Linked DNA regions of Tamandua tetradactyla. The protein of the gene in region 2 purifies or fractionates together with the protein of the main gene of each other region. This does not show direct contact. Links are inferred from orthologs where the notes say so. Each region holds a gene or a part of one and is shown on either strand. Other genes may lie near its edges.

Region 1 (3,745 bases), on a different chromosome or scaffold from region 2:
CAAGCAATCACCCCAGAAGCCACTTCTCTCAGGGGGGAAAAAAAATAGAACTACAAGGAACACAATACTTACTTGGTCTCCTCGATGCTGAGTGATGAGGCATCTCCTGAACTGGTGGTTTTGGAGCTAGCAGCTGGAACAAGAAATGTGGCTTAGGAGCTGAACCAGGGTCAAGATGCCAGCATCCCTTATCCAGCACCTGAGCCTTGCTGAGACACCTGCAAACAGCAGCAACTGTGGCCTTCCCTCACAGTCTTCCTCCTAACAACTCTTCCTATCTGAGCTGCAGCCTCTGAGAATCCTGCTTCTACATACTTCCCTTTTCTGTCCCAAGAGGGCCAATCTTCTGCATCCCTCCCTCACACTGCCACCTCTCTACCTTTGTACGTTGCACCTTCAACCTGCACTGCCCTCGCTCTGGCCTTGTTTGCACTGTAAAATCCTACCCAAATGCAAAGATGAAACACCATCTTCTCTGTGAAGGCCTGTCAATTACTGGATCAGAACTAACTGCTCTCTCCTGAAACCCATAGCACGGTTACTATTTCTGGGGCTGTTTCTCCCTGACAGTACAGGGACCATAAGGGCAGCATGACTGAGTCAGGGGCTGACCAAATCTACACATGTGATTCATATATCAAGAAGCAAACACTTTTTAGTGCCAGTTCTGTTATGCTGGATGCTGGGAACAGAGACAGAAAAGCATTTCAGTCCTCTTCCACCCACTTCACAAACAGCAAATTACTTCACTGAACATCACAGAGAGAAGTTAGACACCCCAGCTAGCTGCCACCTGGCTTGCATTCCCACCCTATCAACCTACCTCTTTATCCAAAGGTTCCTTTCTCCACCTGGGCCTAAGATTCCAACCCCTTTGAGCTCTCTCCAAGGTCAACAGCCCCATTTCTAAACCTATTAGCTATTTTTTAGTTCTGGTTTTGCTTAATCTCTTGTGGCATGTCACTCCCCTTCTAAAACCACTATCTTAAACAAACAAACAAAAACATTCTTCCCGCAGACCTCATGCTTGAGACTCACCTGGTTTTCCTCCTTTGGCTCCTCTACCTGCATTTTTGGAGCATTGTCCTCTGCCCACTTCTAAAACGTTGGCATTTCTCAGGTTCCCGTCCTGACCCTTTTTTCTCACACCTCACTCTTTCTCAGTGGACTTCATTTGTCAACCAAATACTCATACCCCCGCAAATGACCCTATTCAGCCCTGACCCTGTGTTTCTCCATGCATGTCAAACTCAATATGCCCCTAAACTGAATTTATTATTCCCCTCCTCCCACAAGTCTGCTTTTCCTCTCATCTTCCCCATTTCAATAGACAGCTCCACCACCAACCTAGATGCTCAGGTCAAAATCCAACGGGCCATCCTCAATTCCTTTCCTTCACCACCCTCATCCAAGTTCTGACTTCTAAGCACTTCTTCCATCTGTCTCCGGGCTCTATTCCATTGCTGCTGCTTTGGCACTGTCCAACATCAGCCCACACCTGTTTTTCTGCCTCCAGTCTTGCCTACTCTGAATCCACCCCTCCAAGCAGCGAACTTTACAAAATGTGAATCTGATCATCTCACTTCTCAACTGAAATCCATGACTCCCTGCTGCCCTAAGGACAATCTGCACACACTATAGTGACCTCATTCATTCATCCTTTAACTTACTCAACACATCAATTTAAGGCCTGTGATGTGACAGACAACTGAGGTCTCTAGAGAGCCTCAAAGGAGGACCCTTTAGTAACTAGGGCTGACGGAGAGAACCCGGGGCGGTGCTCGGCGAGCACTTGTCCCTAATCCCAAGGCCCGCACGCGGCGGGACCCCTGAAGGCCCCGTCCCTCCGCAGGTCCTACTCCTCACCCGCCTCGTAGCCGTCATCGCGCTTCTCCCGCTTCACACGCCGCTCGGAGGGCTCGGCCTGGCTGCGCTCCCGCCCGTGCGCGCCGCCCCGGGCCTCGGCCTCAGCTCCGCGCCGTCCGCTCCCGCGCTCGCCCCCGCGCTCCCGGCTCCTCTTCCTTCGTTCGCCGCCGCCGCTGCTACCGCCGCCGCCGCTCCGATGCTTGTGTTTTTTGTGCTCCCGGTGCCGCGGCGGCTGCTCGGTGGTGCCCCCGGTGCCGGCCGCCGCTGTCGTCCCGGCCGCCTCCTTCTCGCCGCGGTGCTTCTTGGACGACCCCATGGTGGAACGTCTGCCCCGAGCGGGCCGCCGCCGAGCCCCGACGACGCAAAATGGGAACGCTTCCGGGTCGCCCGGCGGCTGCCGTGTTGCCGGAAACCAAGAGCGGCTGCTTCCGTCGGTCGCGCGGAGGCTGACCCAGAGGCTCACGGGAAGGCCGAGGTCGGCGCCCCAAAGTGCGTTTGGCTGCAGGCGAGGGAGGTTTGCTCAGTCGGCTCAACTGCGCATGCGTTCCTTTGGGTGTGCGAACAGGGTCTGCGGAAGATCGAACCCCAGAGCTTGGAAACCCCGCCTTGGCTTGTGTCACCTGCAGCCACGCGGTGCCCACTGCCTCACGGCCTTTCCGTGGACAGGCGTCCTCCTAGTGGACTCCATCGAGTGTTGAACAGTGCAGCGTGACCTCCTGCAGACCCCCAGCTCCTCAGCCCGCTCCGGGCTTCTGTAACCACCACAGTCAGCCATCGCTGCCTTTCGATGTCCCCTGGATGGGGCTTTTCAGCCTGGGGTCTGTGAACTGCCAAGAAGCTCCAGACGAGCTTTTGTGTCTGAATCCCTTGAAAATTGAGTGCAAAATATGGCGCATCTGTGTGTGGCCATTGTTTTTATCTTGAGGAGGGGGTCTGTAACTTTTTTGGTTTTGTTTTGCTTTTTTGGGGGGGGGTCTATAACTTTAAGGCCCAGTTCACACAATCCTTCGGACACCCCCTACCCAAAATTGCTCATTTCCGCTGCTGGGTTCCGGCGGCTCCCCGTCAGTCCCCTGCTATGGTTGTTGTGCAGGTCGCTTTGAAGATCAACCCCACCACCACTACCACCACCAGTGTTCACTGGGGATCCTCAAAGGCAAGGGCCTTGTTTGTCCTGTTCACTCCTGAATTCCTAGGACCACGTGTGCCTTCCATGTTGGAGACTGGGCATGGGTTCCCCACCCCTCAGAGACTGGGTTGTGTGTATGTTGGGGGAGGGGGTTGAGCAGACAGAACAGTCAGCTCCTGGGGGAGGTGGGGGCAGACACCTGCCACCTCCTACAACCAACTAGCAGATCTCCCTCCCCCTGTCCACCCCAGAAATCCCACGCTGTATTTTCCATAGATCATTTAATTTTGATCTGGGGGACTGGACGCCAGGTCCCGGCTGGGAGCAGAGCGCCAGTCAGGCTGGCTGCCGGCATGTCTGGATTGTGTCCTCGGGGGGCTCTGAGAAGAGGGCTCTGTTCTCAGCCCTGATGGTCTGTGGCTCCTTAAAGATGAGGACACAGATAGAGGCCACAGGACGCCACAGCTGTACCCTCCACTCCCCACCCTTCGGCGCTAGGAGGGAAAAGGCCATGTGTCTGACAACGTAGGTTCAAATCCCAGTTCCTGTGCTAGCTTGCTGTGTAACCCTGGGTAAGGGATGTCACCTCCCCGAGCCTCAGTTTCCTTATTGTGGAGTGGACCTCAGGAGCCCTGCTCTGCAGAAGTAAGGGACAGTAGACATAGGGCAACCAGTGTGGCACCAGCCCCATAAGGAGGCTTGACGCATGGCTGCACAGATGGCTGCCGTGACCCAAAATGGCTCGGCTGC
Region 2 (3,745 bases):
GTGAAAGGGATAGAAGAGGAGCCAAAATATGAAAACATACTGGCTCTGAAGATCTTAGAGGTCTTAGATAATATTGACTTACACAACCTGTTTCTGTCCGACTTCTAAGGAGCTTGAGAGAGTGGGGAGCCAGTGAGGAAGATGCTTCCTGCTCACTCCCAAAAGGATCACAAAATCTACCAGATGTCCCAGCCATTCAAGGCCTAATATTTCCACTCCTGGGGCTCTATCTCCTGCTGGCTGTGAGAACTGAGACTCTAATGTCCTGAAGGCCAAAGTCCTATGAAGAGCAAAACAGGAACTAACAGAGGAGCCTGGAGGGTGAGTGATGGGATTTTCAGATGGCAGAGTCCAGGTGGGGAGGCCACGGACATTTGACAGGCCCTGGATCTGCTCCACAAGAGTGGTAAACAAAGATGAGGTGATTGGAGAGAACACAGAGAAACTTCCAAGGAGTAACTTCATGGGAGGCAATACTCAAGGACTGAGGTGACTCCATAGGGGCTGTGGAAGAGGCCCCCTGCTTCTGGTCACCAGCAGAGCCAAGGCCCCAATACACAACTAAAGGCATTTATTGGGAAAAGGAAACTGAGAGGTGGCCCTCAATGTCCTCACTGCCTGAGGCAGTTGGGGCCAATTTAGAGTCCAGGAAGGAAGGGGCCAGTATCCTGGGCCCGCAATGGGCTCAGGTGTAGAGGTCAAAGTCAATGCGTTTGGAGTTGTAGAACTGACCACCAGGGGGGTCCAGCTTCCGGCAATATACACCATCCGAGAAGTAGCCTTCATTCACCCAGGTCTGCAGGGAGAGAGGGCAGAGCTGGGGGAGGACTGGAAGCAGGGGGAAGGGTAAGGGAGACAAGGCAGAACAAAGCAGAAAGGAGCTTACCTGCATCTGGGTGCTGGTAAAAGGCCCATAGAGCTCAGCATCCCCTGTGTTCTCCCACTTATATTCCCACATCACTTCCGCCAGACCATCCCCAAGTGACTCTGCTTCTAAAACAAGAGACAAAGCCATTTGGGCCTCAGTTGCCCTTCCCCTGCCCACAACCTTCCTTTTCTGCCCTCTACACTTACCTCTCTGGACAGCGGTTGGCGTCTCCAGCTCCCTCTCTGCCACTTCCTCAGCGAACATGTCCAGAGTGGGTGGGGGTGTAGGATCATGAGACCCCTGGGTCCGGCACCCTAGCCCCTTCAGTCGCATGGCCAACCGTTCCCGAGTCTCCTGATACACACCAAGGTTGCCCCGGGCCACCATCTGGTCAGCCAATCCCGAAAGTCGATCCAGGCGCTGGGGGGAGCTGGGCCGCCCAGGACCCTTGCTGCCCCCTTTGCCTCCTCCTCGGGCTCCCAGGCGCCTCAATGCTCCAGCAACTGTCTCCCTTGGCAGCAGCAGCTCCAGAAGGCCCTCCAGGAGGGCTTGGGCACTCATCGGTGTCTGGCCCAGACTGTCCTCCTCCTCTGAATCTGAGGCCTGGCGCTGATCAGGTGGTCGCTCCCGGATCTTTACCTGTAATTGAAGACAAAGGACTTACTTCCTACAAACTGCCAGAAGGCCCCAGGTCCAGCACCCACTGCCCCCAGGCCACAGACATGCCATCCCCTGGGCCACACCCAGTCAATGTTGTCCAGCCAGCTGTCTCGGATCTGAGCATCCCGGTTCAGGAAGTAGTTGCCATCTGCATCAAAGTGGCCTTCCTCCATCTCTTCCTGCAGGTTGAAGGGCGTGATTCGCACACCCCCCTCGCTGGGGAGTGTGGCTGCTTCCTGACCTGAACCAAAGACATAGACTCTCTATGTGAGGCAAAAAAGAGACAAGAATCTCCCTTGCCCCACAACTCAGAAGCCCCTCCTTGTCCCTCCAGTTGAGAGTCAAATTTTGGGGTATGGCTCACCTTCCACATCCTCTGAGGCCAGGATGTCATATTTGCGGGACCCCTCCTCGTCGTCATCCTCCTCATCACTGTCCAAAGAGTGTTTGCCTTTGAAGCGGCTCCCAGGGCCCCCAGCCACAGGGTCCACCATCTGTATACAGGTGAGAGATGAAGGTTACTGGCTGCTCCCCAAAACATTGACCCAAACTGAAAATCCTCCAAACCCACTCCTAAAACAATATGGAAAAGCCAACCCTCCAACATCTTTGTCCCACCAACTTCCTTCCTCTTCAGGCTTTTGCCTCCTCTCTACTAGTCCCCCAGAACGCAGGAGTCTGGTCCCCTCACCTTCTTCTTGGGGGCAATCATTTCATCCTCATCATTTTCATCCCCCACGCCCTGGAAGGTCACTTTCCTCTTTGGCATGACGGAACGGTGGGATCCCCTAAGCTGTGCCGAGAAGAGTGGAGAATTAGAGATCTGGGCGAGGTGGAGACTAGCCACCAGAGGGCCCCTGGCACAGCAAATTTTTCTTCCGGTACATGCCAGGTCCAGTTCGGGAGGCGAGGGAGCATTAGAGTCAGGAGCCAAAAGCGGAGCTGGCAGACAGTCGACCTCAGGGGTTTGGTCTGGCATTCAAGAACGTGGCTGAAGCAGGGACTGTAAAGGATTTTCCCATGGCCACCGTCGGTACCCCCATTTTTGACCAAAGGAGAGAGCTTCCCCCATGTGACCACCCTCATCCCCAAGCCCCGCAGGCCACAGCGAAACAGGGCTCCGCGGGTTACACCGCAACCCCCTCCCGCCGCCCAGTTTCCAGAGACCGCGGGGCCCGCGCGGACTCAGGACCTGGAGTCCGGGCCTCTCTGCTCCTTCTTACGCCGAACTCCCAATTCCGCGGGGCAACCCCTAACTATCCTGGGGTACGAATACAAATTAGAGGGACGGCAAGCATACGAGGATCCCAGGAAACCCACCCGCGCGCGATCACCTGGGGCTCCAGGGGAGGAGGGGAACGAAAGCAAGAAGGCTGTCGCTAGAGTTACATCCGGGGCACCCGGGCGCCACTACCCGGAAGAGAAATGCGGAAGGCGCCAAAGAAAGCCGGAAGTGGCTTCACTGCGTTTACACTAACTGGAAGAGCGGGCGGAAGTACTCAGGGAAAGAGGGAAGACACCCACCGCGAGAGGTGACGTGAGCTGCGTGGGGAGGCCATAGCAAGAAAAGAGGATATATGGATGCCTGATCATACCAGAGAGGTGGCAGCAAGTGGTTTCGATTCCGTAAGACAGCAGTTGAGGCTCTGGGGAAAGTGGAGTCCACTCGGTTTAAGAGGGCGCCAGGGGTCTGGATAGAGGGGCAAAGTCCAAGCAGAATCAACGATTCCTGCCCTAGTTTTTCTTTCCAGTGTTCGAGTCACCCTTCCTACAGGGCTGGCCAAGGGTTCTGCGCCCTCATCATTTCTGAGAAATTCTCCCTTCCTACTCAGAGCGTCTAATATTCTGCCATCTTCTTTCATAGCCTGGGAGGAGTGGCTTTACTCTTTTTCCCGTCGAGAGGAAGCCCGGCTCTTCAGATGATGCGCCTCGGGGGCCCTTGACCACACTTTGGTTTCAGAACCCAGTTCCCTTTAGGACCCATTTGCCCCATGCCCCGCCCCAGGATGAGCTCCTAGTTTCCAGGTCGGAAAGCCAACTCAGTGGGACCAGTGCGCAGTATCCAGGCCCCAGGCCCCTCGAACCCTGCTGTCAGGTAGGCATGAAAAAGGGTAGCAGCATGTGTCTGAAACTACAGCCACAGGATAAAGCTTCCCCTTTACCAAACAAGGCCCCAACCTGTGGTGCCTTATGCAGGTGATGAGTCTTGGCCAGTGC

The links.
Region 1: the proteins of CD2BP2 (region 2) and SART1 purify together in Homo sapiens (affinity purification with mass spectrometry; 4 studies listed by BioGRID and IntAct, with this or other methods). This does not show direct contact. The link is inferred for Tamandua tetradactyla from reciprocal best matches to the Homo sapiens genes CD2BP2 and SART1.

What each region holds. Positions count from the first base shown.
Region 1 is NC_135335.1:8,562,226-8,565,970, forward strand, and holds the start of SART1 (U4/U6.U5 tri-snRNP-associated protein 1), read right to left. Parts: upstream 2,290-3,745; 5' UTR 2,183-2,289; coding exon 1,867-2,182; intron 134-1,866; coding exon 73-133; intron 1-72. Other genes in the region: TSGA10IP (testis-specific protein 10-interacting protein), read right to left, coding at 3,277-3,418. UniProt on the Homo sapiens protein: Plays a role in mRNA splicing as a component of the U4/U6-U5 tri-snRNP, one of the building blocks of the spliceosome. May also bind to DNA.
Region 2 is NC_135349.1:24,206,043-24,209,787, reverse strand, and holds CD2BP2 (CD2 antigen cytoplasmic tail-binding protein 2), read right to left. Parts: upstream 2,943-3,745; 5' UTR 2,863-2,942; exon of another isoform or gene 2,849-2,862; intron 2,843-2,848; exon of another isoform or gene 2,721-2,842; intron 2,322-2,720; 5' UTR 2,298-2,321; coding exon 2,220-2,297; intron 2,023-2,219; coding exon 1,893-2,022; intron 1,770-1,892; coding exon 1,612-1,769; intron 1,508-1,611; coding exon 1,075-1,507; intron 994-1,074; coding exon 887-993; intron 818-886; coding exon 686-817; 3' UTR 555-685; downstream 1-554. UniProt on the Homo sapiens protein: Involved in pre-mRNA splicing as component of the U5 snRNP complex that is involved in spliceosome assembly.